4 linked regions of the Callithrix jacchus genome follow. The protein of the gene in region 2 interacts with the protein of the main gene of each other region in a pairwise test. Links are inferred from orthologs where the notes say so. Each region holds a gene or a part of one and is shown on either strand. Other genes may lie near its edges.

Region 1 (5,613 bases), on a different chromosome or scaffold from region 2:
GAACAAATAAAATACAACCTAGCACATAAAGTACAGGCTTCAGTCTTGCTTCATTTTCTTTGCTCTTAGGCTAATGGCCTTTTCCTATTCTGTGTGGAGTCTTGGGATCAGATAAGTTAGTTTAGTTTTCTACTTGTTGAATGGATTCTTTATTAATCTTCATTTATTTTATTTTATTTTTTTGAAAGTAATTTACCCTGTTGCTTTTACAAATCTTTTGAGGAATTTAGTGATCTCTTTAAAAAACAGCTGTATTGAGATATAATTCCCATACCATAAAATTCACTATTTCAAAGTGTACATTTCAGTAGTTTTTACTATAGTCAGTTGTGCAGACATCAGCATTATCAATTTTTAGGACTTTTTCATTATAACAAAGAAACATCATACTCTTTAGAAGTCATTTCTCATACCCCTTCCTGCCAGGCCCTGGCAACCACTGATTTACTTTCTATCTCTGTGAATTTGCCTATTTTGTATATTTCATATAAATGGGATTTTATAATGTGTGACCTTTGTGACTGACTTCTTTCACTTAGCATGTGTTTTTGAGGTTTATCCATGTTGTAACATGTATTAGTACTTTTATTTTTTATGGTTGAATAATATTTCATTGTGTGGAATTTTATTTGTACATTCATCAGTTGATGGACATTTGAGTTGTATCTATTATGAACAGTGTTGCAGTGAACATTCGTGTACAGGTTTGTGTGGACATAGGTTTTCATTTTTCTCAAGTAGAATTGTGAAGAGGGGAATTGCTGGGTCATATCGTAACTGTGTTTAACATTTTGTGTTAATACCAGCCTGTTTTCCAAAGTACCTGTGCCATTTGTAATACCAGCAGCAGTGAATGAGGGTCCAATTTCTCGCTTCTTCAATACTTATTATTGTCTCTTTGATTTACCCATCTCAGTAGGTATGAAGTGGTAGAGCTACTTGTGGTTTTGGTTTTCATTTTTATAATGACTAATGTTGAGCTTTCATGTGCTTATTGGCCATTATCTTTGGAGAAATGTCTTGTAGAATAAAAGAGATCCTTTTTTTATTGGTCTCTTTTAACAAAGGTCAGTGTTAACTGCTAGGTAGCATTTCATACCAGGCGATGGTAATTTTTCATAAATATTAGTAATAGACTTTTAGGTTTAGCTGATTGTTAATCAAGACTATTTTAAAGTGCTAATCCTCATAAGTAATCCTTTAAAAAAAGTCCTGGTAAGATTTCCCTTTAGGGTGACCAGTACAGTCAGCAAGACTCAATTGAGCGTCTCACTATTATAATGAGGAGACCTAATTTTAATATTTTTGGAATGTCAAAAACAGTGACATTTTGATTAATTTTATTTTTAAAAATTATTTTTGATGGTTAACATTTTATAAGAATTTTAAGTAATGTTCAACTCTGAGCATCAAATTTTAATTATGTGCGTTGAATCTCTGACTTAACCAGAACAATTTCATCTTTTTCCAAGTATATCTAAATCTACTTTGTGAAATATGTTCTGATGTGTGTCTTTTTTTTTCTTTTTTAGGTTATCTTGAATACATGTGCAACAGTTTTACTTGCAACGTTACCTGTTGTTTTATACTGCTTCCAAAAGATCAAAATTGTTCTGGAAATTGGAGACATTTGATTTAAAAGGAAAAACTTGAACAAATGGACAATATGTCTATTACGAATACACCAACTAGTAATGATGCCTGTCTGAGCATTGTGCATAGTTTGATGTGCCATAGACAAGGTGGAGAGAGTGAAACATTTGCAAAAAGAGCAATTGAAAGTTTGGTAAAGAAGCTGAAGGAAAAAAAAGATGAATTGGATTCTTTAATAACAGCCATAACTACAAATGGAGCTCATCCTAGTAAATGTGTTACCATACAGAGAACATTGGATGGGAGACTTCAGGTTAGTCTTATAAGAATTTTTCTATACCCTCTATGGTGGCAGGTTAAAAAACTTGCTAAATTTCCTTTCAAGCTTCTATAGGGTAATTTAATGCATGCTTCATCTCTTCAGATACTGTCATCCAGTACAAATATGCATTATGGGAATATGTGGAAGAATATGCAAAAGATAAAATTTTAAAGTTTTTTATGTTCTGACTCAGAAAAATGTTCAGTGGAGAAAATTTGGAAAATAAAAAGAAGAAAACCCACATTTTGCAGGAACTTCCGTTAGCCCTTTGGTATTCATTTTTGTAGTCTGTTGTTTTCTTTTTCTTTCTTTTTCCGAGGCAGAGTCTTACTCTGTCACCCAGGCTGGGATGCAGTGGTGCAGTCTTGGCTCACTGCAGCCTCCGCCTCCCAGGTTCAAGCAGTCCTTCTGCCTCAGCCTCCTAACTAGCTGGAACTACAGGTGAGTGCCACCATGCCCAGCTAATTTTTGTATTTTTAGTAGAGATGGGATTTCACTATGTTGGTCAGGCTGGTCTCAAACTCCTAACCTCAGGTGTTCCACCCACCTTGGCCTCCCAAAGTGCTGGGATTACAGGTGCAAGCCACTGTGCCCGGCCATGTTTTCTTTTTTGATATTGTATGTACATTTAAACAACTGGTGGATTATACTTAGTCCTTTTATAATTTAGAAATCTGGTATGTTTCACTGATATCAAATGTTTCATTGGTCACGTTTTTCATGTAGAACTTTGTAATACGTCTCCCTTGCTCAAGTAAATCTCATAGAAATTTTATGTCTTAGATTTTAAAGTTTTATTTCTAGACTTTAGTTTCTACAACACAGTCTTTTTGCATATTTATTTGTTTATTTTATTTTCTTTCTTTGAGACATGGTCTCAGTCTTGCCCATGCAGTGGTGCGAACATGGCTCACTACAGCCTTGACCTACTGGGCTTATTCAGTTCTCCTGCTTTAGCCTCCTGAGTAGCTACGACTACAGGCACACACCACCATGTCTGGTTGATTTTTTATTTTTTGTGGAAACAAGGTCTTGCCATGTTGTCCAGGTTGGTCTTGAATTCCTAGGTTCAAGAGATCCTCCCTTGGCCTCCCAAAGTACAGGTGTGAGCGACCAGGCCCACCCACTTTTTGCATTTTTAAAACCTGAGCACAGGCCTTGAAATTATACCAGCGTTTAAATTCTAGGTCTGAAGTATGACATGGCCAAGTTAGTTATTTTGAATTTTAGTGTTCTCGTTTATGAAATGGGGATTGTAATACTGACTTGGTAGGATTGTGAGGTTTAAATCAGAATATATGTAAAGTGTCTTGCATAATGTGACACACGAATAAATGGTTGTTTATTTTTCTAGGTGGCTGGCCGGAAAGGATTTCCTCATGTGATCTATGCCCGTCTCTGGAGGTGGCCTGATCTTCACAAAAATGAACTAAAACATGTTAAATATTGTCAGTATGCGTTTGACTTAAAATGTGATAGTGTCTGTGTGAATCCATATCACTATGAACGAGTTGTATCACCTGGAATTGGTAAGTAGACTTTTGCTTTTATCCTTAGAAACATAAAGGAAAAATGATGTCAGTAATGCTTTAATTTTTGTGAGTTAAATTATAAATTTCGAAGATAGCCCAGGATTTTAAATAAGGTTAAAGAATGAGATATTTTTAATATAAATATTTAAATTTGAACTCAGGAACAAACATTTTGACTACTAAAACCAAGTATTATCGTTGACATTTTGCCCATGTAAAACATTGTTTTTGAGAAATAAGATGGAAAGCATTATAAGTTTGAATACTTAGTGTATGTATTGTTAGTTAGCGTTTATGCTACTTCTGAATTGAAATGGTTCATGAACTTTTGTAATCTCTGGCTTAAATTTACATTCTCTGTTTTTAAATGGAAAATATTTTCATTGTAATGATTAATGTTTTATTTTTTTCCCCTCTTTAAACAATTAAGATCTCTCAGGATTAACACTGCAGAGTAATGGTAGGTAATCTGTTTCTTATCACATTCTCTTTCCTGTGTTTTATCCTCTCTGTTTTTTTGTTGACCTAGAATTAATTAGTTTGTGTGGGCGGCAGTAACCTTAACAAGAAAATAACTTACTGCTTTGGAAATTTAGATTGAGGGGGCGTGTCGGTGTTTAAAACTGGATTTAAATTGGCTATTTGCTCTTTGTATTTGAACTGCAATTTATGAGTTAAAGTACTGTAAAAAATATGATAAGGGAATGAACCAAAAACAAATACAAAGGCTGCTTTTCAAGTTAAGCACTGTTTTTGAAGAAAATCTCACAGAGTCAGTTTAAATGGATGTTAAGTTCCCAGAATGTTTGGTAATTTGGAATCACATATAACATATCCAGTAAAAATACCAGTATTCTAATGTTTCTTCATTTCAGTCTAATTTATTTTTATATAATGTTGAGAATGGTTTAAAATTGCACTCGTTTGTGTTTTTTCAGTCTTGTTACATTTTGAGTAAATAAATCAAGGCTACTTTAAAGCATATGCCCATCACAGCTTACCTTACTGAAAAAGTGTTTTAAGGTGAGAAAATGAAACACCAGTGGGGGTGTAGGTGTTTTTTAGTGTAATATTTGAGAATGGAGTTTTATTAAATCTTTAGGTCTGTTACTTAGAACTTACTAAAATTTCTGTCAGAACTAATTAATTTGCAGAGAAACTCTTATAAAGAACCACTGTGAGCCAGGTGCAGTGGTTCATGTCTGTAATCCCAGAACTTTGGGAGGCTGAGGCTGGTGGATCATGTGAGGTCAGGAGTTCAAAACCAGCGTGGCCAACATGGTGAAACGCTGTCTCTACTAAAAATATAAAAAATTAGTCAGGTGGGTGCCTGTAATCCCACCTACTCAGGAGACTGAGGCAAGTGAATCACTTGAACCCGGGAGTTGGAGGTTGCAGTGAGCTGAGATCATGCCATTGCCTGGGCAACAATAGCACAACTCCATCTCAAAAAAAAGGACCCAATGTCATATTAGAAAGGTGTGCTATTGTTCTGGAGGGAAATGAGTAGTAACTTGGGACCTTTTTTGTTTGCAGAATTTTAGAGATGGGTCAGAAATACTAGGTGACGTTAACCAAAATTTAGGAAGAGTTTGCAAGTCTTCTTGTTTTTATTTTCCATCTTTCTCCCATATCACTAATGGAGGAAGGAAGACTTAGTGCCTTGTGGTGCTTGTTAGTGATTAGTAGGTTTCTGAGAAGTGTGCATTTATTATTAGGAGCTGTTGTGGTGGTCTGGGAAGGGTTGCTTTAAGATTGGTTAAAGCTCTGCCTCTTTGCCATGCAGACATTGAAAATCATATAACTTCTTCTTCTTTTTTTTTTTTTTTTAAGTAAATACCCTTCATATCTTTTAAAGTGTTTTTTAAAGTAAACACACTTCATATCTTCATTTTCCATCCATGGTTTTGGAGAATTAAAACATTTGGCTCAGTAGGTATTAAAGATTGGGAGACTGCAATGATATGTCTATCTGAATCTCTCTATGGGGCTGTTTGTGAGGGGGTTCAAATTCTGAATGCTTATCACACACCTCCCCTATCCTGAAATTATTGATGCATTGTTATCAATGGGATTGCATGGGTCGATAGCCTTTCTTTAATGACTATAGAACTGTATTCAGCCTTGTAGAGCCCCCTAGTGGTGGTTTTGTAAAGGGTGTCTTCA
Region 2 (5,613 bases):
CAGGAGGTGGAGGTTGCCGTGAGCCGAGACTGTGCCACTGTCTGGCAACAAAGCAAGACTCTGTCTCAAAAAAAAAAAAAAAAAAGCTGTCAGGTAATTCTGATGTACATACACCACAATTTGAGAACCACTGTACCAGAATCGTCTTTTGATACGATGAATACTATATCCAAGTACCCTTTTAGTGCATTACCCCAATCCCTCCAGAATATTACAAACCTGGGAAAAATTCAAACTATTCTTGATTGTTAAGTTTTAGAATCAAGAATCCTTTTATTTGGCAAGTCTTTAATTCTTATTTGCCAAGTCAATTTTCACTATGACTTTTTTTTAAAGGTGTCAGCACCTACCCTTTATTATTTAGTGGTGATGTGGGAGACAGGGAAGGACAGGTCCTCTTGGCAGATGGCTCTTCTTCCTCTTCATCAGATGAACTGTCTATGGTTAGGTCAATCACTTCTACTTTCTTGTTTTTATTTGAGGACTGGTGGTGAGAAGCTACCTGATGCTCCAATGTGGAGCTCAAGCATCCTGTATGGGAATGATTAAAAAACAAGGCAAGGAAGAGCTATGACATTTATCTTTCCTCAGCGTCCCTTATAGTTTATCTATTACAGTTTAGATTCACAATATTGTTGGAACCAGAGAGCAGAAAACCAGCAGTGGCTCTGTTCTAATAAGTTTAAAACTATTATTATTTAATAATGGTGAATTATTTTTCAAAATAATAAACTACAGAATTAGAGCAAACAATCAAATTGTGTCTTATGCCTACTTTAGAGGAAAAGTAATTTGAGAGCACAGACTGTATATTATCTGTACAATATTTGACATATTTAAGAAATATGATAGCATTTTTTAAAACTCATAGTCTCTTTCCAGCAAAAACAATGAAAAAAGGACGTTTACTACTCTGTACCCAATCTGTTCAAAATGTTAAAAGGGTACATTTTCAAAAGTGTGACTTTACAAATGAGAAATTACATTACTTTAAAATCTTAGAAAAATCCTTAAAGCTGGCAAAAAAGTGAAGTTAAAAGGAGTTCTATTACCTCTGAACATTTAATCAGTAAGTTAATAGGAATTATTAAGCTCTCCACAAACTGTTCAGTGTTTAAAAAAAAAATTTGGATTTTAATATTGAAAACCAGACTTAACGGCAGTAGGGAGATGGCCCTTCCTTGTGAAGAACTACTCACCATCAACTCCATTGTATGAGGCAGAAACTTCCTGTACTTCCTTTTTCGATCTCATTGGTGCCCAAGAGCCATCCTCCTTAAATTGTATTTCATCACAATCTGTGCAGTACTTTAGGATTTCCATAAACAAGCTGTAAGAAAACAATTCATCCTTAGAATATCATATTTTAAATGAAAATAAGTTAAAAGTTGAACAACTTGTTATATTTATTCTTAAAATCTAGTGGTAAACAGAAATATAGCTAATTTATGTCACATTTGTGTAAGAAAATACCATGTGACCATGAAAAATGACATTTTCAAAGATTTTTAATCACATGGGAAAATGTTCACAAAAAGTTAGAAAAGGCCAACAAAAGCAAGCTTCATCTCAAAACTAAAATTCTGTGTGAGTGGTCCATAGTCAGTAGTTATCTCTGGGTGGTACCTTCATGGGTATTTATTTTTCTTCTTTAGATTTTTTTTGCATATTCTAAATTGCCTACAATAAGCATGTCTTACTTGAGAAACTGAAGCAATACACGTACGAATATGTTATCAAAGGTTAAATCTCTTTGATAAAATATTGTGACATTTAAAAACATGTACGAAGAATGCATAATTATGGCCAAATTCCTAGGTTATAATGTTAAATGAAACCAAAGGATAAAAATTATTAACAGTGTACAATCACAATTATGTCAAGACAAAAATCAGAAAATTATACACCAAAAACAGCTTTTTACTTTCCTGTGTTTTCAAATTTTTCTTTAAAAGAGTATGTGTGTTATATGGCTTTTATAACAAGAAATGGGAGAACCTAAGCTATGTAACATATACAGTTGGTAAAATATTACTATTTAATTCTGATTTACCAGTAAGTGATCACTGTCATTTCTGAAAAGTTAAACATAAAACATTTAAGTTACATGTTTATTTTTTTTCCCATGACTGGTCTGACATCTTTCAAGTTCTAGGTTATACTTGTATTGCTAAATATATTCAGTTTCTGATAGTACCACCTTCAGACTCCAGCGTTTTCTTAAACACTGTAGGTAAGTTGCCTTAAGTGTTTTTGCTAGAAAGTACAGGAAATATTAAGTAGAGGCTGGGTGCAGTGGCTCACACCTGTAATCTCAGCACTCTGAAAGGCCAAGGCAGGAGAATCACTTGAGCCCAGGAATTCGAGATCAGCCTGGGCAAAATGGCAAGACTCTGTGTCTACCCTTACCCCCCAGCCCCCAAAAAGTTAAGTAAATGTCCTCCTTTGCACAATTTGTTTTTGTTTAGTGGCAAAAGGCAGGGGGAAAGGAGTCTGCAGAATAGGAGATAATTTGGAGGAGCATTCCAAGATGTCTGGTAGGATAGATTTAAAAAAAGGAGTATTAAAAACAGTCATCAGTTACTGTGATGCTGTAGGTGGACAAGACAAAAAAGAAAAAGACCATGACTGAAGCTTGATCTGATCTCCAGAAACAGGCTAACTGCTATTGAAAAGCCCAATTTTGGATGAGCCTGAGTTAACCCAAATTTTACCATACATTCTTTCTCCAATATGGTCTACATATCTAGGGATGGGTAGATGAATGAATGATGGGAAAAGGAAAGGGTGTAAGCATACCCTGCTTAAAACCAATGGTGCTTTAAACAATGAATGCCAGGAGGCACTAACAGTAATGTATGCATTTTCTTTCTTTCTTTCTTTTTTTTTGAGACAGAGTTTCGCTTGTTACCCAGGCTGGAGTGCAATGGCATGATCTCGGCTCACTGCAACCTCTGCCTCCTGGGTTCAAGCAATTCTCCTGCCTCAGCCTCCCGAGTAGGTGGGATTACAGGCACGCACCACCATGCCCAGCTAATTTTTTGTATTTTTAGTAGAGATGGGGTTTCACCTTGTTGACCAGGATAGTCTCGATCTCTTGACCTCGTGATCCACACGTCTCGGCCTCCCAAAGTGCTGGGATTACAGGCGTGAGCCACCACGCCCGGCCCCAGTATGCATTTTCAAAACAAGGGAACATCAAGTTGAAAAGAAAATGTTCATAATACTAATTTGAAATAAATTACTTTGAAAATATTGGTTTGCAGACTCATAAAAATCCTACAAACATATAACTTAGAATTTTCATTCCAAATCTGATCTGTAACAAACCCAGATAACATATGTTCATTTCAAGGTACCAAAAACACTTTTAAAGTGACATACCCATCAATAATAAGGTGTTCATATGGAGCCTTCTTATCACAGACAGGACAAACCCAGGTTGGTTTTTTCTCATTCATCTGAATGTAAAGAGTTGCGTCAAAACATTGTAGGTGAGAGCATGTAAGGGCCCGACACGGAATTGTCAGCCGCATTTTACCAAGCTTTAAAAAAGGAGAAAAAGTAAATATTAGATAACTGCTGTTCAAAATTTAAGCTTTGATAGAAATTTCCTAAAACACAACAGGTATGCATACTGATTTAAAGCATACTGTATTTACTTTTAATCAATGAAGAAGAACATTAAACATATTACCTGTAAAATATCTATAGATTTAAAAATTACAGTATTTCTTTAGCTAGCAAACAAAATGACTATGGAAAATCTACAACAAGGGTTATTTGCTAAAATCCACAGCTCACAGATCAGCTTTTGGTGGAGAGGGTCATAAACCCCTTGAATTATATTCAAAATTTGTGTGTGCATTTTTCTGGAGAGAGTGCTTTTACCAATTTTCAAAAAAAGAGATGGGGTCTTGCTATGTTGCCCAGGCTGAAGTGCCAACTCTCTTCACAGGCATAATCATAGCACACTACAGCCTCAAACTCCTGGGCTCAAGCAATCCTCCTGCCTTAGCTTCCAGAGTAGCTGCGAATACAGACGTATACCACTGTACCCAGCTTCTCCCAAATTCTTAAAGCAGTCCCTGACCCAAAAGAAAAAATTTGAGAACCATGTAACTAGGGATTAGGGAAAATAATGTCTTAGTAAATACTGCATGATACAGAGATGCACTGATAATTGCTCTCAGCCTTATCTGTGAATTAGAGTAGTTCACAGGACAAAACTGAATCAATAGTGATCACTCCCCACGATGTCTGTCGTAACTGCCAAGTGGTAGCTCCAAGGAGGAAGGCAGGTGGTGCACACACTCTGCACTGCTTCCTCACTGGGAACCATCACAAGCAATTCAGCCTACAGTCCTGGACCTCTAGCATCTCCAGCATGTTAGGACACTTCTTGCCTTGCAAATATTGCTTCAGCTGACACAGGCTGAGTCCATCCTAGGAAGAGGAAATCTGCTTCATCTGATCCCTGAGCTGCTAGCTTTGGCCCAAGGCAGAGAAGCTGCCCAGAGACCTGGTCAGGGAGCTATCATATCACTATCTCAATTCCCTGGAAGCCAGCTTGTACCACTGTAGGGTCCCCAGATCCCACAATGGCCATATAGTAGAGAACTTATCTACTTTCAATAACTACATTATTTGTCAAGTACCAGGAAAAGATTTGTGAACTTGAAAAATATAAAGGCTTGAAAAGGATATGAGTTAGATGAGGAAAAGATTCTTGGCTTAGATCAATTTCAGAGAAATGTGCAATACCCTAGTCTACCAAGGCAATTATCTGTCAGTTGGGGCCCAAAATAATTGCTTTGATGCCAATGATTTACTGTGTCTCTAAGAAAGGCATTTAACCTTTCTGGGCCTCTTTTACTTCTAAAGTAACACTGTTTCCTCCTTATTTCGACCAGATGTAGCCATGATGAATAAAAATAGAACACTGAACATGCTATAAATTATTGAGAATGGAGCAATGCCAGTTTACAGTATCAGAAGCACAACCAGGAGGGACCTAGAGTAAAAACTGGTAACTCCCTTTTCTGTACTCCCAACTCTATACTCCTGCATATGACTACAATCAAGCACCACATAACAACATTTTGGTCAACAATGAACCACATATAAGATGGACGTTTTAAAATTACGTACAGTACATAATACCTGATAACAGACAGCCATGTTACTGGTTTCTGTGTATTTACTATACTATACTTTTTATCATTACTTTGGAGTGTAGTCCCTTTACTTATATATATTTTAAGTTAACTGTAAAACAGCCTCAGGCAGGCCCTTCAGGAGGTATTCCAGAAGAAGGCACTGTTACCACAGGAGAGAACAGGTTCATGTTTGCCACTGCCCCTGAAGACCTTCCAGTGGGACAAGATGTGGAGGTGGAAGGCAGTGGTACTGATGATCCTGGCCCTGTGTGGGCCTAGGCTAATGTGTGTTTGTGTCTTAGTTTTTAACAAAGTTTAAAAAGTAGAAAATAAAAGTAAAAAATGTTAAAAATAGAAAATGGCTTACAGAATGAAAGTAAGAAACATTTTTGTACAGCTGTACAAAGTGTTTGTGTTTTTAGCTAAGTGTTATTACAAGAGTCAAAAGTTAAAA
Region 3 (6,404 bases), on a different chromosome or scaffold from region 2:
AATTACAATATTAGCTTTTTTAACGGAAAATTATCTAAATGTAAGATGTCTAAAAATAGAGTGGAGGTGGATTGGACAGTTTGCAGATTATGAGTTGGAATAAAAACATCGCAGTTAAGCCAAAAACATGGCAACCAATATTTTCTGTTATAAAAATATTTGAGATGAGTTTAGTTTTTATGGAAGCTGTCTGAAACTGACATGAAAAGTCCAGTAATAATACCGGCAGCATCTCCTATATACAAAGCCAACAAGCTTCTGCTTCTTTCTGAAGTCGACTTTGTCAAGTAGGGGGTTGGGGGCGGGGGTGAGGATAGGGGTGTGGGATATTTTACCCAGTTATGCTCTGACGCGCTAACCTTCACCTTGACAAAACAAAACCTATCAGAGCCTTTTCAGGAAACTGATGTTAACTGTCCACTAGAGGCTGTAAGGAGACCAACAATGTCACTTTAGACTAACCCGAGGTTTCAAACTGTAACAATCATCGATTTTTAAATGGGGGGGGGAGTTGTAGAAATGAGTAAGAGTGAACAGTAGTAGTTACATTTAAATAGCCACTTACATGTGCACGGCATATCAAAAATGTGAGAAAAAATATTTCCGGGGCTCTGCACTTTCCTCGCTCGTACGTTTATTATTTCAGGAGCACGTAGGCTCTTGCAGGCCAGAGTTGTGTAAAACCTGACACATGTTTTGATCATTCTCTGCCCTGCCTCAGTGGGTGACTAACCGTTAGGTCATAAGTAAACTCAGCCAAAAGGTCTCTCAAATACAGCTTACAGTCAAGAGCGGTGGCTTTCAGAAAGAAACTTACGCGAAGGGGTCATGTTTCCAGACACCTAGTTCTAAGCACCTGAAGGAGGTCAAATGTTGCCCGACACCTACTGGCCTTCCAGAATCATCTGCAGCAAAAACGCCACGCTGAGCGCCCGTAGTCTGGAGGCACCTCCCAGTCCTCCAGGTGCCACACCTGTTGGCAATGTTAGCCCAGCCGACGAAGATTCCTTCGCGTGGAGGTCACACCTGGCGGCGGGACAGGCGGAGGGGCGGGCGGGGTGGTGGGAGTCGCGGACCGCACTAAAACACAGAGTCCAGACTCAAGTTCTTCATCGATTCCCGAGAGCTGCCATTTGATGCTCCGGTGGCTTTCTCTGTCTCTTACACTGGTTACCTCATTTCCGATTAAATTAATGATCCCAAATTAGCTGCGAGAGGAGTGCGCGGGTCTCCTTTCCAGGCTAGAGCGGAGTAAGTAGCTCCAGATCGAAGCCGATTTCCGGACCTGCGGAGAGAGCGAGGGCACGGCCGGGCGTTCTCAGGCAGCGAAGGTGAGGGCGCCTGTGCAGTCGGGGGGCCCGGGAAACTTTGCGGAGTTGCACGCAGAGGCAATCCCCGAGGCCCCCGGGCCTGGGTTCCCGAACGCCGCAGCGACGCCGGTTTGCGGGTTAAATAACGTGCAGCTGATGATCGGAGGGAGCCCTTTTAGACGCGGCTCGGGGCGCCGGGGACCCAGGGCACGTTGGGATTAGAACCCGCCGACCTCCCCTCCCCCCTGGGGTGTTTCATTGGCTGCCAGCTGAAGCCTGACACCCCTTGGGGGAGTCCCCCAGGTTGCCTGAGCAGCGCCCCGCGGTCGCTCGGTCCCCTCCAACTAGGTGCAGGGACCCAGGGAGGCGCTCGAGGACCGACCGGTCACCGCTCCAATTACCTCATCGCGCAGCTCCCCGCCCCCTTCCCAAACCTGGAAGGAACCTTGCCCTCCACCCCGCTCCTCCCCTCCCCCGCGGCCCGTCCCGAGCCACTCTTGGGGAAAGGTGCCCGCCTCCCCGGGCCGCGCGCCGCGAAGGGTTAAGGGCGCGGGCCAGCCGCCGCGCGGTGCGCTCAGGGCTCGGTGCTGCTCGCCGGGCCGCCCGCCAGAGGGTGCCCCCCACCCCCATGAAGTCGGATCCTTGAGCTGCGGCGGCGGCAGCCAACTGCTCCATATTTGGCTTCTATTACACATTTACATACTGGAGCGAGCGAGCGAGCGAGCGAGCGCGAGAGAGCGCGAGGGAGGGAGGGCGGAGGGAGGAGGGAGGGGAGGGAAGCGGGAGGAGGGGGAGGAGGAGGAGGAGGAGGAGGAGGAGGAGGAGAGAGCAGAGTATACCGCAGACATCATTTCTACTACAGTGGCGGAGCCGTACAGGACCTGTTTCACTGCAGGGGGATCCAAAACAAGCCCCGGGGAGCAGCAGCCAGAGCAAGAGCAGCCGCCAGACATTGTTTCTCTCCCTCTGCCCCCCTTCCCCACGCAACCCCAGATCCATTTACACTTTACAGTAAGTGGCTATTTTTTTTCCTCCTCTGATTCTTTTCCCCCCTCCCCCATCCCCTTCTCCCCTTATTTAGATTAAAATCCCTCCTCTCCCTATCTCCCGAGAGGGGCAAAAGCAACAACCAGCAAACAAACCCTAAAACCCCAATCGGCTGCACGGAAAACAGCTGGAAGAGGAGCGAAGGGAATCGACGCGTCGTGTTGTGTGTGTGTGTGCGTGCGTGTGTGTGTACATACAACCGTCCCCGGTTCCAGGCTCCCAGGCCGACACCCCCACTCTGGGCGCAGGGGCGGCCGTTCGGGGGGGCTGTCAGGGGCCGGGTGGGCGCCCGCCGGGCTAGGGGGCGCGCCCGGGCGGGGGGCGCGGGCAGGGAGAGCGGCGGCGGCGCCCCGCTCTGGAGACTGCTGGTCCGGTCGCGAGTGCCGAGAGCCATGTCCTCCTCCCTCCGGGTGGCGCAGGGGGAGGCGGCGGCGGCCGGGGTGGGGGGCTGGTCCCTTTCCCGGCCGCCCTCTTCCCATTCCTCCTCTCCGGAGAGGGCGGTGAGAGAGGGGGGGTCTCGGGGAGGGCTGCACTTCCCCGCGGGTGGACGCCCGGCCTCGGCGCCCCTGGGCGAGGGTCTTCCCTCCGTGGCCGGCCTCGCCGGCTGTACGGCTGTGGGCTGGGAAGGGACTGCTCCAGCCAAGGGGCCGGGACTTTGCGCTCGGCCGGGTGCCAGGCGGGGGGCGCGGAGGGGTGGCCTCGGGGACCCCGCGGGGGTAGCGGGTGTGCGGGTGCCTGGAGCGCGGCTGGAGTGGCGGTGGCGGCCCTGGCTGCCGCCGCCACCGCCGCCCTGTTGGTGCGGCCGCTTCCTGATCCTGTGCAGCGGCCGCCGCCGCCCGGAGCCGCGAGCCCGCGAGCGCCCCAGTCCGGGCCGGCGCCCCTGCCAGCGCCCGCGGCAGGAACCGAGGAGCCGCGGCAGGCGCTGCCCGGAGCCGGGAGTGAACGGCTGCGCGGCTGCTGGGAGGGTGAATGAAGCCAGGAGGAGGGGAAGGAGGAGGAGGCGGCGGCGGAGGAGGAGGAGGAGGCGCTGCGGGGATTGGGATGCGCCCTGGAGCCCCGCTGCTCGTTCACTCTGGGCCGGGCCGAAGACTCTGCCACTCCCGGGGCCGGGGCCGCCGCCGCCGCCGCCTCCTACGTGGTTCCAGCGCTGCGCTCAGGCCGGTCCCGCAGGGGGCAGGGAAGGGGGCCGGACGGGCGGAGCGAGAGGTGAGGCGGTGTCGGAGCGCGGCGTGTGAGTGAGTGTGTGAGTGAGTGTGAATGTGTATATGTGTGTGTGCGTGCGCGCCGGGCGGGGGGCGAGGGCTGTCGTGATGCGGAGGGGGCCCCTCCTCGGCCACTTGGCTGACTCTGCATCGCCCGACCCCTTCTCAGCCCCCCGCCTTCAGGCTGCCTTCTTGAACTCCGAGGCTGTGCTTTCATTTTATTTCAAACCACGTAGGGGGCTGACTGGAAGCGGTGAAACAATTCAGGTTTTCTAGGGAGATTGAGCAAGAACCTTAGCGGGGGGTGGAAGTAGGGTGGTGATCCAGACTCTGCCAGAAAACAAAACAAAACAAAAAGATCAGTTTCTAAGGACGGCAGGGGTTCGGTTCGAGCCGGTGGCTGGTCTGTTTTGTTTTGCTTTCTTGGTATTATCCTACAGATAAAAAGGTAATGTAAATACTTGAGAAGATTGGGAAATTGCTGAAGAGTAGTAAGGGCAAAAAAAAAAAAAAAAAAAAAAAAAAAAAAAAGCCAGTCGGAAGAAGCTGGTTATATAATGCGCGATGTGGCTAACAAGAAAGGCAAGCTATTTTTATTTTGTTTACCGTATGCTGTGCAGTAGGGACTCCTCCAAACTGGTTCTGTCCCCGAAGAGATTCTGAGCTTCCCTGTGAGATCCACAGGATACAATTAGCAAAATTAGAAGACCCTATTACACCCACAGAATAAAAACTGGTGCCTTACAGTGGCTTTCTGCCTGCACATTCGTGCATGCACAGGAATGTGTGTATGCAAATAAGTTCTCCTTTGGCAATCTAGTAGTGCACATCTCAATGACATTTGCGTTTTATAATGCAGGCTGTTTTTAATATTTAAACATTGTCGTTATATATTGCACACAGCAGTGGGTAGTTACTTGGTGGTTATTTTTAGGCATAGCTACTTTTTCAACAGTGTTAGCTAAGACATTTCCGTTTGGGTTTTTTAGGAGGCTGCAGTTCCTAGAAGCCCCCGTTAAGCCCACCCTTCGGTTTATTTGGTGGGTAAAGGTAGTTTGATACTTAGGCTTTTTTTTTTTTTTTGGAATGAAGCTTATGCCTGAGGAAACCACCAGAGAGAAGAGAAAATCCTGCACAGGAACTCTTGGAAAGGGATTGCACCATAACGGCTAATGCTGTGGCACTTAATCTCCTCTGATTGCCCTCTCGCTGTGCATGCATCAGTCAATATTTTAGCAGCTCTGCAAATAAATGGACTTGAATGCCATCTTCTACATAAAGCAGAGGTTGAAGGGCTCCCTTGAACCTCCTGGCTGGCTGTCAGTGGTGTAGGTTTTCAGTGCACTTACTCCAGCCCTGATCACTCATGTAATTAGATCAGGCTGCCATGGCAACAGACAGTGTTCCTCGTCCATTCAGGTGGGTTTGTCTTGTGCCTGAACTACTCCAAATGTTTTATGCACAGCATTTATGCTGCCCAAGCTAGACGAAAGACTCCACTATTTCAATTGCATCTTCTTTCAGTCATTTGGATGGGAGACACTGAAGGAGGCTTCTAGCTACTCAACTTTTATAAAGGAGACCAACAAGCTGTTCTTCCTAGGTGCAGTATGTAAATGCGTCTCCCCATACAGTGAAAGGAGCCTGACAATCCTGCTGGTGTTTATTGTGAGCAGATCAACAAGTATTTGGTACTTGTTAGAAACCTTTCAGAGCTTACTAAAGCAACATTTCTTTTGCAGTCTGGTGCCTTTGGCCATGCAGGCACTTAACCCTTTCAAGTGTGAAGAGCGTTCATCCTTTGGAACCTATATTGCCCATAGCAATGGCTGGATTTCTAAAGGATTTACTCAGAGGAATAACTTATTCGGAAAATATATTCTCATTGTCACATTTTTAAACTTGACAGCCATCATAACAAAAACTGGTACTGACAGTAGGCAGACATTCTGAATGTATTCATTCTTAATTTGGATCTATTGGGTGTGATTTGAATGATCTTTGATAGTAAGTTAAAAGGATTTTTTTTTTCTTAGCTAAGCCAGAAATGATAGAGGCCTATAGCTAGAGGACAGATAATGCATGGTGCTTTTGCACAATAAGCATGTACTTTATTTTAGGATGTAATTTAGAGAACAGTTAGAAAGCAGTATTCTAGTCTGCATAAGGGCACCACTGCATGAAGGCTGCTAAGCAAAGAGAAATCACACTATGGCAAAAAGGGAAAAGGAAAAGTTTCTTTAGTTGCTGAAGCTCTGTGCTGCTCAGGTAATCCAAGTAGGCAGGCGGGAGGAGAGGGGGAGAGAGGAGCATTTTAATAACCTGGCATTTGAAAGGAAAGATAATTGAGAATATGTCTTGATTTAGTTGTGACTGCCAGTCAGTTTACAATTTTATGGCCAACCTAGCTAAACTAGTACATTTTTCCCCCCAGGCCTAGGATTGTGAGAGCTACTCAACTCTATTCACAGGGGATTTATGAGTTTCTACCATTTCCTGAGTTAATGTGGTTGGTAAATTCATTGAGGCCTGGTCAGATGAAGCATTGCTGTGGTTAAAATGAGCTATTATTTCTGGGAGGTAAATAGATGGGAAGCAAGGATGTCAATGAGGCACAGAAGTTTAACACAATGCCTTGGAGGTCCTGGGTTCTATTTTGCAACATATAGAAAAATGCTTTACTTGCAGTAAAATGTGAACGTATGTTTTTCAGTGCACAAATTCACGTTAGAATAAGTATAAAAAATGTACTTGGTAGGAACAGCGGAAGACAGTGTTTTTCTTTCAGGATTTCGTTTTAAGAGGGTTTGGTAAACAGAATGATACTTTGTTAAAAATGTTACAA
Region 4 (5,613 bases), on a different chromosome or scaffold from region 2:
AGCCAAGAATGTGATGAAACAAAATTCATATCCTAAACTTTTCATTTTTAAGGAGAAAGAAGCCAAATAAAATCTCTCGATGGGATGTTAACAGCCAGTGCTTAGCTAAAATAAGCACATTTTCCATGTCATTTTCCAGTGTAAAAGCTTCCATGTATTTGTGTTTGTTTTTATTTTGCTTGGTTGCTAATTTCCTGCTGACAGCGATGAGAAGGATGTAGGAATGCTCCCAGGAAGAACTCCTTGCCTCCGCCCAGCTTTAGACTGGTCTAAGTGGGTGCCACCCAAGGTGATGTTCTCACAAGGTCTCTCTACACACAGTTCTGGCCACCAGCAGGGACAATACTGAGTTATCCTTTGAGATCCCTTTAGTCTCAATCACAGAAAATTGAATCTGCTCCAAATACGCTTTTATCCATGACTCGCAGAGTAGAAGAGGCTTTCAGAGTATTCACTGCCATGAGATCCTTTAATCCTAAGCTCTGTTTGTGCTTGATTCTCCCCCTCTCTCTAGCCCAGAACACCATCGCCGGGGAAGGAATGGGAATCAGTCATGAGCTAATCACCTTGGAGATCAGCTCCCGAGATGTCCCGGACCTGACTCTCATAGACCTTCCTGGAATAACCAGAGTGGCTGTGGGCAATCAGCCTGCTGACATCGGGCGTAAGGTCAGATTTCAGACTCTAATACCCTTACTGTATTAGAGTAGTGGTGAGTCCAGGGCTGAGTTGTGGAGAGTTGATATTTGGAGGTAAGAGTGAGGAATTCAGAGAGCCCATTGGTCACAGTCTTTTCTGACGAGTTGGATGGAAGCTTCCTTGGAGACGGTGAAGTGAACAGGCACAGCTGGAAACAAGTTCTATGTATTTGTTTTGTGTTTCACGCAGTGACTCATTTTTGGTTAGAGTTACATTCTGCAGCGGATCTAAAATGCGGTGTATTAGGAAGGAGTTTTATGTGGGAAAAGAGAACATTAAAAATAAGTATAGCCAGGCACAGTGGCTCACGCCTGTAATCCCAGCACTTTGGGAGGCCAAGGCAGGTAGATCACAAGGTCAAGAGATCAAGCCCATCTTGGCCAACATGGGGAAACCCCATCTCTACTAAATATTTTAAAACTTAGCCAGGCGTGGGTGCGTGCCTGTGGTCCCACCTACTCGGGAGGCTGAGGCAGGACAATTGCTTGAAACCAGAAAACAGAAGTTGCAGTGAGCCGGGATCACACCACTGCACTCCAGCCTGGCAATAGAGCGAGACTCAGTCTCAAAAAGTAAAAAAAAAAATTTTTTAAATAAGTATAATGGGCCACACACAGTGGCTCATTCCTATAATCCCAGCACTTTGGGAGGCTAAGGCAGGAGGATTGCTTGAGCCCAAGAGTTTGACACAAGCCGGAGCAACATAGTGAGAACCCCTTCTCTATAAAAGAAAGGTTAAAAAAATTAGCCCTGTATGGTGGTGTGCACCTGCAGTCTCAGCTACTGGGAGGATTGCTTGAGCCAGAGAGGCTGTGATGAGCCATGATTGTGCCACTGCACTCCAGCCTGGACAGCAGAGGAAGAACCTGAAAAAAAGAAAAGAAAGAAAGAGGACTGATATTTGAGTAGCAGTGATCTCACTTTACAGATTAACGATCTAGGGTCAGGCAGGTTTTGTTGGCCATTGTTTTTCATTGTGACCATCAGACCTGAGGTCTTAGCGGGTAATTAACTGAAACCTCATAGTTTTCCCTGAGCCTAGAGCTCCGTTTCTGCTGCAGATACTTATTTTCTCATAATTCCAGCTTGGGAGGTACCTCCAAGGTAGGGTTTATTGGTTCACTTCTCCAAAGTTACTTCTTTTGGGGGAAATACCCCTGGGCCTCTTAGGGCCTAAAGCAAGCACAAGGTCAGAACCTGTCTCACCTGTCACTTGCTTTTGCCGTTTTCACAAGTCACCTTCCATTTCCTTACAGATCAAGGCACTCATCAGGAAGTACATCCAGAGACAGGAGACGATCAGCCTGGTGGTGGTGCCCAGTAACGTGGACATCGCCACCACAGAGGCGCTGAGCATGGCCCAGGAGGTGGACCCCGAGGGGGACAGGACCATCGGTGAGAATGTGGGAGCCTACATGTGGTGGGCGGTCTGCCAGTGGGGAAGTGTCTCTCAAGTCTCCGTGGGCATTGCTGCATTGCTTGGTGGGGACCTGCTTCCACTAAGACCTGCTAAGGGGCAGGTTTGGTGCCCACCGAGGCCAAGTGAAATGAACTACTTTTGACTCTCGTTGACTTGGTTGCCTTGTAACCCTTATCTATGTGCTCAGAAAGGCACAGCAGGCTCAGAAGCAGGGCAAACTAAGGAAGCAAATGGTATTCATAAAGAATGCATTTGAAGTAGGAGCAGCACAAATGTCCATGACTAAAAGGACAAACAAAATGTGGTGAAGGAGGTGGGAAGGGAAGGAAAGAAGGAAAGGGAAGGAAAGAGGGGAAGGAAAGAAAGAAGGGAAGGAAGGAAAGAAGGGAAGGAACGAAAGAATGGAAGGAAGGAAAGAAGGGAAGAAAGGAAAGAAGGGAAGGAAGGAAAGGGAGGAAGGAAGATATTTGAGTATCAGTGAATCTGACTTTACAGATTCAAGATTTAGGGATCAAGTGTGTTTTCACAGGGCAGAGGAGCCTGGGGAGAGCCACATGCTGTTCTGAGGGGCACCCCTGCCTCCTTGCAGCTTGCCCTGGAGTTCTTTCTTGGAGTGGGACTCCACTGGCCCCATGGATCTGCGGAGGCCATGGGCTACCCTCTAGCAAAGGGGGAGGAAACACTGGGAGGCTGGGGCATAAACAGTTGTTCATTCACCGCTGCCTTGTGACTGGGCACGTTCTCTCACCAAAAACATCTGGCTTGCAGGAATCTTGACGAAGCCTGATCTGGTGGACAAAGGAACTGAAGACAAGGTTGTGGACGTGGTGCGGAACCTGGTGTTCCACCTGAAGAAGGGCTACATGATCGTCAAGTGCCGGGGCCAGCAGGAGATCCAGGACCAGCTGAGCCTGTCCGAAGCCCTGGAGAGAGAGAAGCTCTTCTTTGAGGACCACCCATATTTCAGGTGCACTCACCTGGGTTTCATCACGGATCAGTGCAAGCCCTGGAAGTCAGTTCTTCCTGGGGAAAGTGGCGGCCACCCCACAGATGCACGGAGTGTGTGTGTGACTATGCTTGTTCCCCAGCAAGGACTCTGGAAGAATAGAAAGGGGATTACAAAATATTGGGGGAAAAAAAACCTAAAAACCAATCAAAACAGGGAGAGAACAATGTACAATAATTTAAATAGCATGGTGTTGGAACCATATTTTATAAAAACGTAAATAGAAGAGAACAGAAAAAAAGTAGAATGCCCAGAAATAGATTCCGATATGTATGTTTGACACATGATGAACACGGCATTTCAAACAAAATGATGAGCTGTATCAGCTTGATTATCAATTAATAGCATTGGGATAATTATGATTATTTTATTATTTTTGAGATACAGTTTTGCTCGTTGCCCAGGCTGGAGTGCAATGACATGATCTTGGCTCACCGCAACCTCCACCTCCTGGGGTTTAACTGATTCTCCTGCCTCAGCCTCCCAAGTAGCTGGGATTACAGGCATGCAGCACCATGCCTAGCTAATTTTGTATTTTTAGTAGAGATGGGGGTTTCTCCATGTTGGTCAGACTGGTCTCCAACTCCCAACCTCAGGTGATCCACCCACCTCAGCCTCACAAAGTGCTGGGATTACAGTCGTCAGCCACCACCCCTGGCAGGATAATTATTTAATATTTGGGGAAAAGTTCAAATACTGTTCTAACTTACCTCATTATACCACAATAGTTGAAGTTTAAAGTTAAATCTTACCCCATTATGCCAAAGTAGTTGAAATTTAAAGTTAAATGTTAAAAAACAAAGCAATAAGCATCTCAGAAGAAAATGTTGGTGAATAGTTTATAAGACCTTTCTATCCCTCCTGCCCAAAGTGAATTTTTTTAAACGAAAATATTGATAAATTGGTAAGATTTAAAATAATGAGACTATGTAGAATTGTAAACATTCTTGCACTCAATTCTCCCAGAAGCCTACAGAAGGGCATTGCTCAGAGTTCTATGAATATCAAACAGAAATTTCCATGCCCCTCTGCACATTCACAATAGCCAGAAGAGAAGGTGACTCGGTGTCCATGGACAGATGGGTGCAGAAAGCAATGCACCATAAGATGGAATACCATTCAGCCTCAGAGAGGAGGGACATCACAGCACAGACCACGATGCCGATGTAGCTTGAGAACATCAGACTCGGGGAAAGAGCCCAGTCGTAAGAGGACGGAGACTGTCTGATTCCACTTGTCTGAGGTCCTTGGAGTGGTCAGATTCGTATAGACAGAAAGAATGGTGGGTGCCAGGGCCTGGGGGAGAGAGAATGGGGAGGTAGTGTTTACCGGGCCATTGTTTCAGTTTGGGAATATGAAAAGCTCTGAAGATGGACGGTGGTGATGGTTTCAGAATAGCGTGACTGTAGTTAAGGCCACTGAAGTGTACATTTAAAAATGGCTCAAATGGTCAATTTTATGCTATATGTATTTTACCACACGACTTTTAAAAATGGACATAGAAACTGAAGCTTAGGTATGAGTATACTCTCACAACAAGGCACAGAAACTTATGCTTCTCTGCTGCCCATATCCTAAAATGTCCTGTAAAGCGTGGGCAACCTTGTAATAACTCGCCCTATGAGCACAAATTTGGATCGAGTGACAAGATGTTTGGCTTCCACCCTCCAGGCAGCCCATGGTCTAAGTTCTTATCTCAGGCGAGGTTGCATCTCCTCTGTTCCGTGATCCTCCACCCACGTATGTAAATATGCTTCAGTGTATTCGTATGAAGACCACGCCTGTGTTCATTATGATCACTCACACGTATTACAAATGGAAGGGGGTATGTGTTATGAAAACCTATCTATACATGTCTGTGTATTTCTGTGACGACCAGTTCTGTAGCCAGATATTATGAGACACATTTATTATATCAGCTGGAAGGGCTCATTCCATATCATTGTTGAAATATCCTAGGTTGCTAAAGCTCAGCCACAGTCCTGTTCGGTCCAACTCTGAGTATTTGTTGGGTACCGATCACAAGATATTCCATCCGGTGGTAAGCGACTGAAATTTGCCTGGACTTTCCCCAACAGCAGAAGGCAGACGTGCGTGTTCTGGCTACATCAAGGTGGAAATCGATCTTGTGTTCTCTTCTAGGGATCTGCTGGAGGAAGGAAAGGCCACGGTTCCCTGCCTGGCAGAAAAGCTCACCAGCGAGCTCATCACACACATCTGTGTAAGCACAGACAGAGCTGTGGGTCCTCTAAAAAGAACACTACGAACACGGAGCTGAACCTTGCTGGCTTCTTAAACATGACTACACACAGGCCTTCTGAGGATCTTAAGATGCAGATCAGATTCTGTGGGTCTGGAGTAGGGCCTAAAATTCTGCATTTCCAGCAAGTCCCCAGGTGACACGGATATTGCTTTTCAGGGAACCACAGTCTGGGGGCTGCTGATAGACTATACCTACTGGGCCAAAACAAAAAATTAAAATCTTACG

What was found.
Region 1: the proteins of PIAS1 (region 2) and SMAD4 interact in a two-hybrid assay, tested with the Homo sapiens proteins (2 studies listed by BioGRID and IntAct). The link is inferred for Callithrix jacchus from reciprocal best matches to the Homo sapiens genes PIAS1 and SMAD4.
Region 3: the proteins of PIAS1 (region 2) and ATXN1 interact in binary tests that used the Homo sapiens proteins (3 or more experiments, as listed by UniProt). The link is inferred for Callithrix jacchus from reciprocal best matches to the Homo sapiens genes PIAS1 and ATXN1.
Region 4: the proteins of PIAS1 (region 2) and MX1 interact in a two-hybrid assay, tested with the Homo sapiens proteins (2 studies listed by BioGRID). The link is inferred for Callithrix jacchus from reciprocal best matches to the Homo sapiens genes PIAS1 and MX1.

The regions. Positions count from the first base shown.
Region 1 is NC_133514.1:94,274,108-94,279,720, forward strand, and holds part of SMAD4 (mothers against decapentaplegic homolog 4), read left to right. Parts: intron 1-1,532; 5' UTR 1,533-1,657; coding exon 1,658-1,906; intron 1,907-3,269; coding exon 3,270-3,444; intron 3,445-3,877; coding exon 3,878-3,907; intron 3,908-5,613. UniProt on the Homo sapiens protein: In muscle physiology, plays a central role in the balance between atrophy and hypertrophy. When recruited by MSTN, promotes atrophy response via phosphorylated SMAD2/4.
Region 2 is NC_133509.1:15,291,210-15,296,822, reverse strand, and holds part of PIAS1 (E3 SUMO-protein ligase PIAS1), read right to left. Parts: intron 3,546-5,613; coding exon 3,385-3,545; intron 1,331-3,384; coding exon 1,200-1,330; intron 532-1,199; coding exon 351-531; intron 1-350. UniProt on the Homo sapiens protein: Functions as an E3-type small ubiquitin-like modifier (SUMO) ligase, stabilizing the interaction between UBE2I and the substrate, and as a SUMO-tethering factor. Catalyzes sumoylation of various proteins, such as CEBPB, MRE11, MTA1, PTK2 and PML.
Region 3 is NC_133505.1:13,912,898-13,919,301, forward strand, and holds the start of ATXN1 (ataxin-1), read left to right. Parts: upstream 1-2,140; 5' UTR 2,141-2,321; intron 2,322-2,749; coding exon of another isoform or gene 2,750-3,563; intron 3,564-6,404. Other genes in the region: uncharacterized protein LOC128931873, read left to right, coding at 2,750-3,563. UniProt on the Homo sapiens protein: Chromatin-binding factor that repress Notch signaling in the absence of Notch intracellular domain by acting as a CBF1 corepressor. Binds to the HEY promoter and might assist, along with NCOR2, RBPJ-mediated repression. Binds RNA in vitro.
Region 4 is NC_133522.1:47,272,205-47,277,817, forward strand, and holds part of MX1 (interferon-induced GTP-binding protein Mx1), read left to right. Parts: intron 1-514; coding exon 515-669; intron 670-1,955; coding exon 1,956-2,094; intron 2,095-2,887; coding exon 2,888-3,086; intron 3,087-5,267; coding exon 5,268-5,346; intron 5,347-5,613.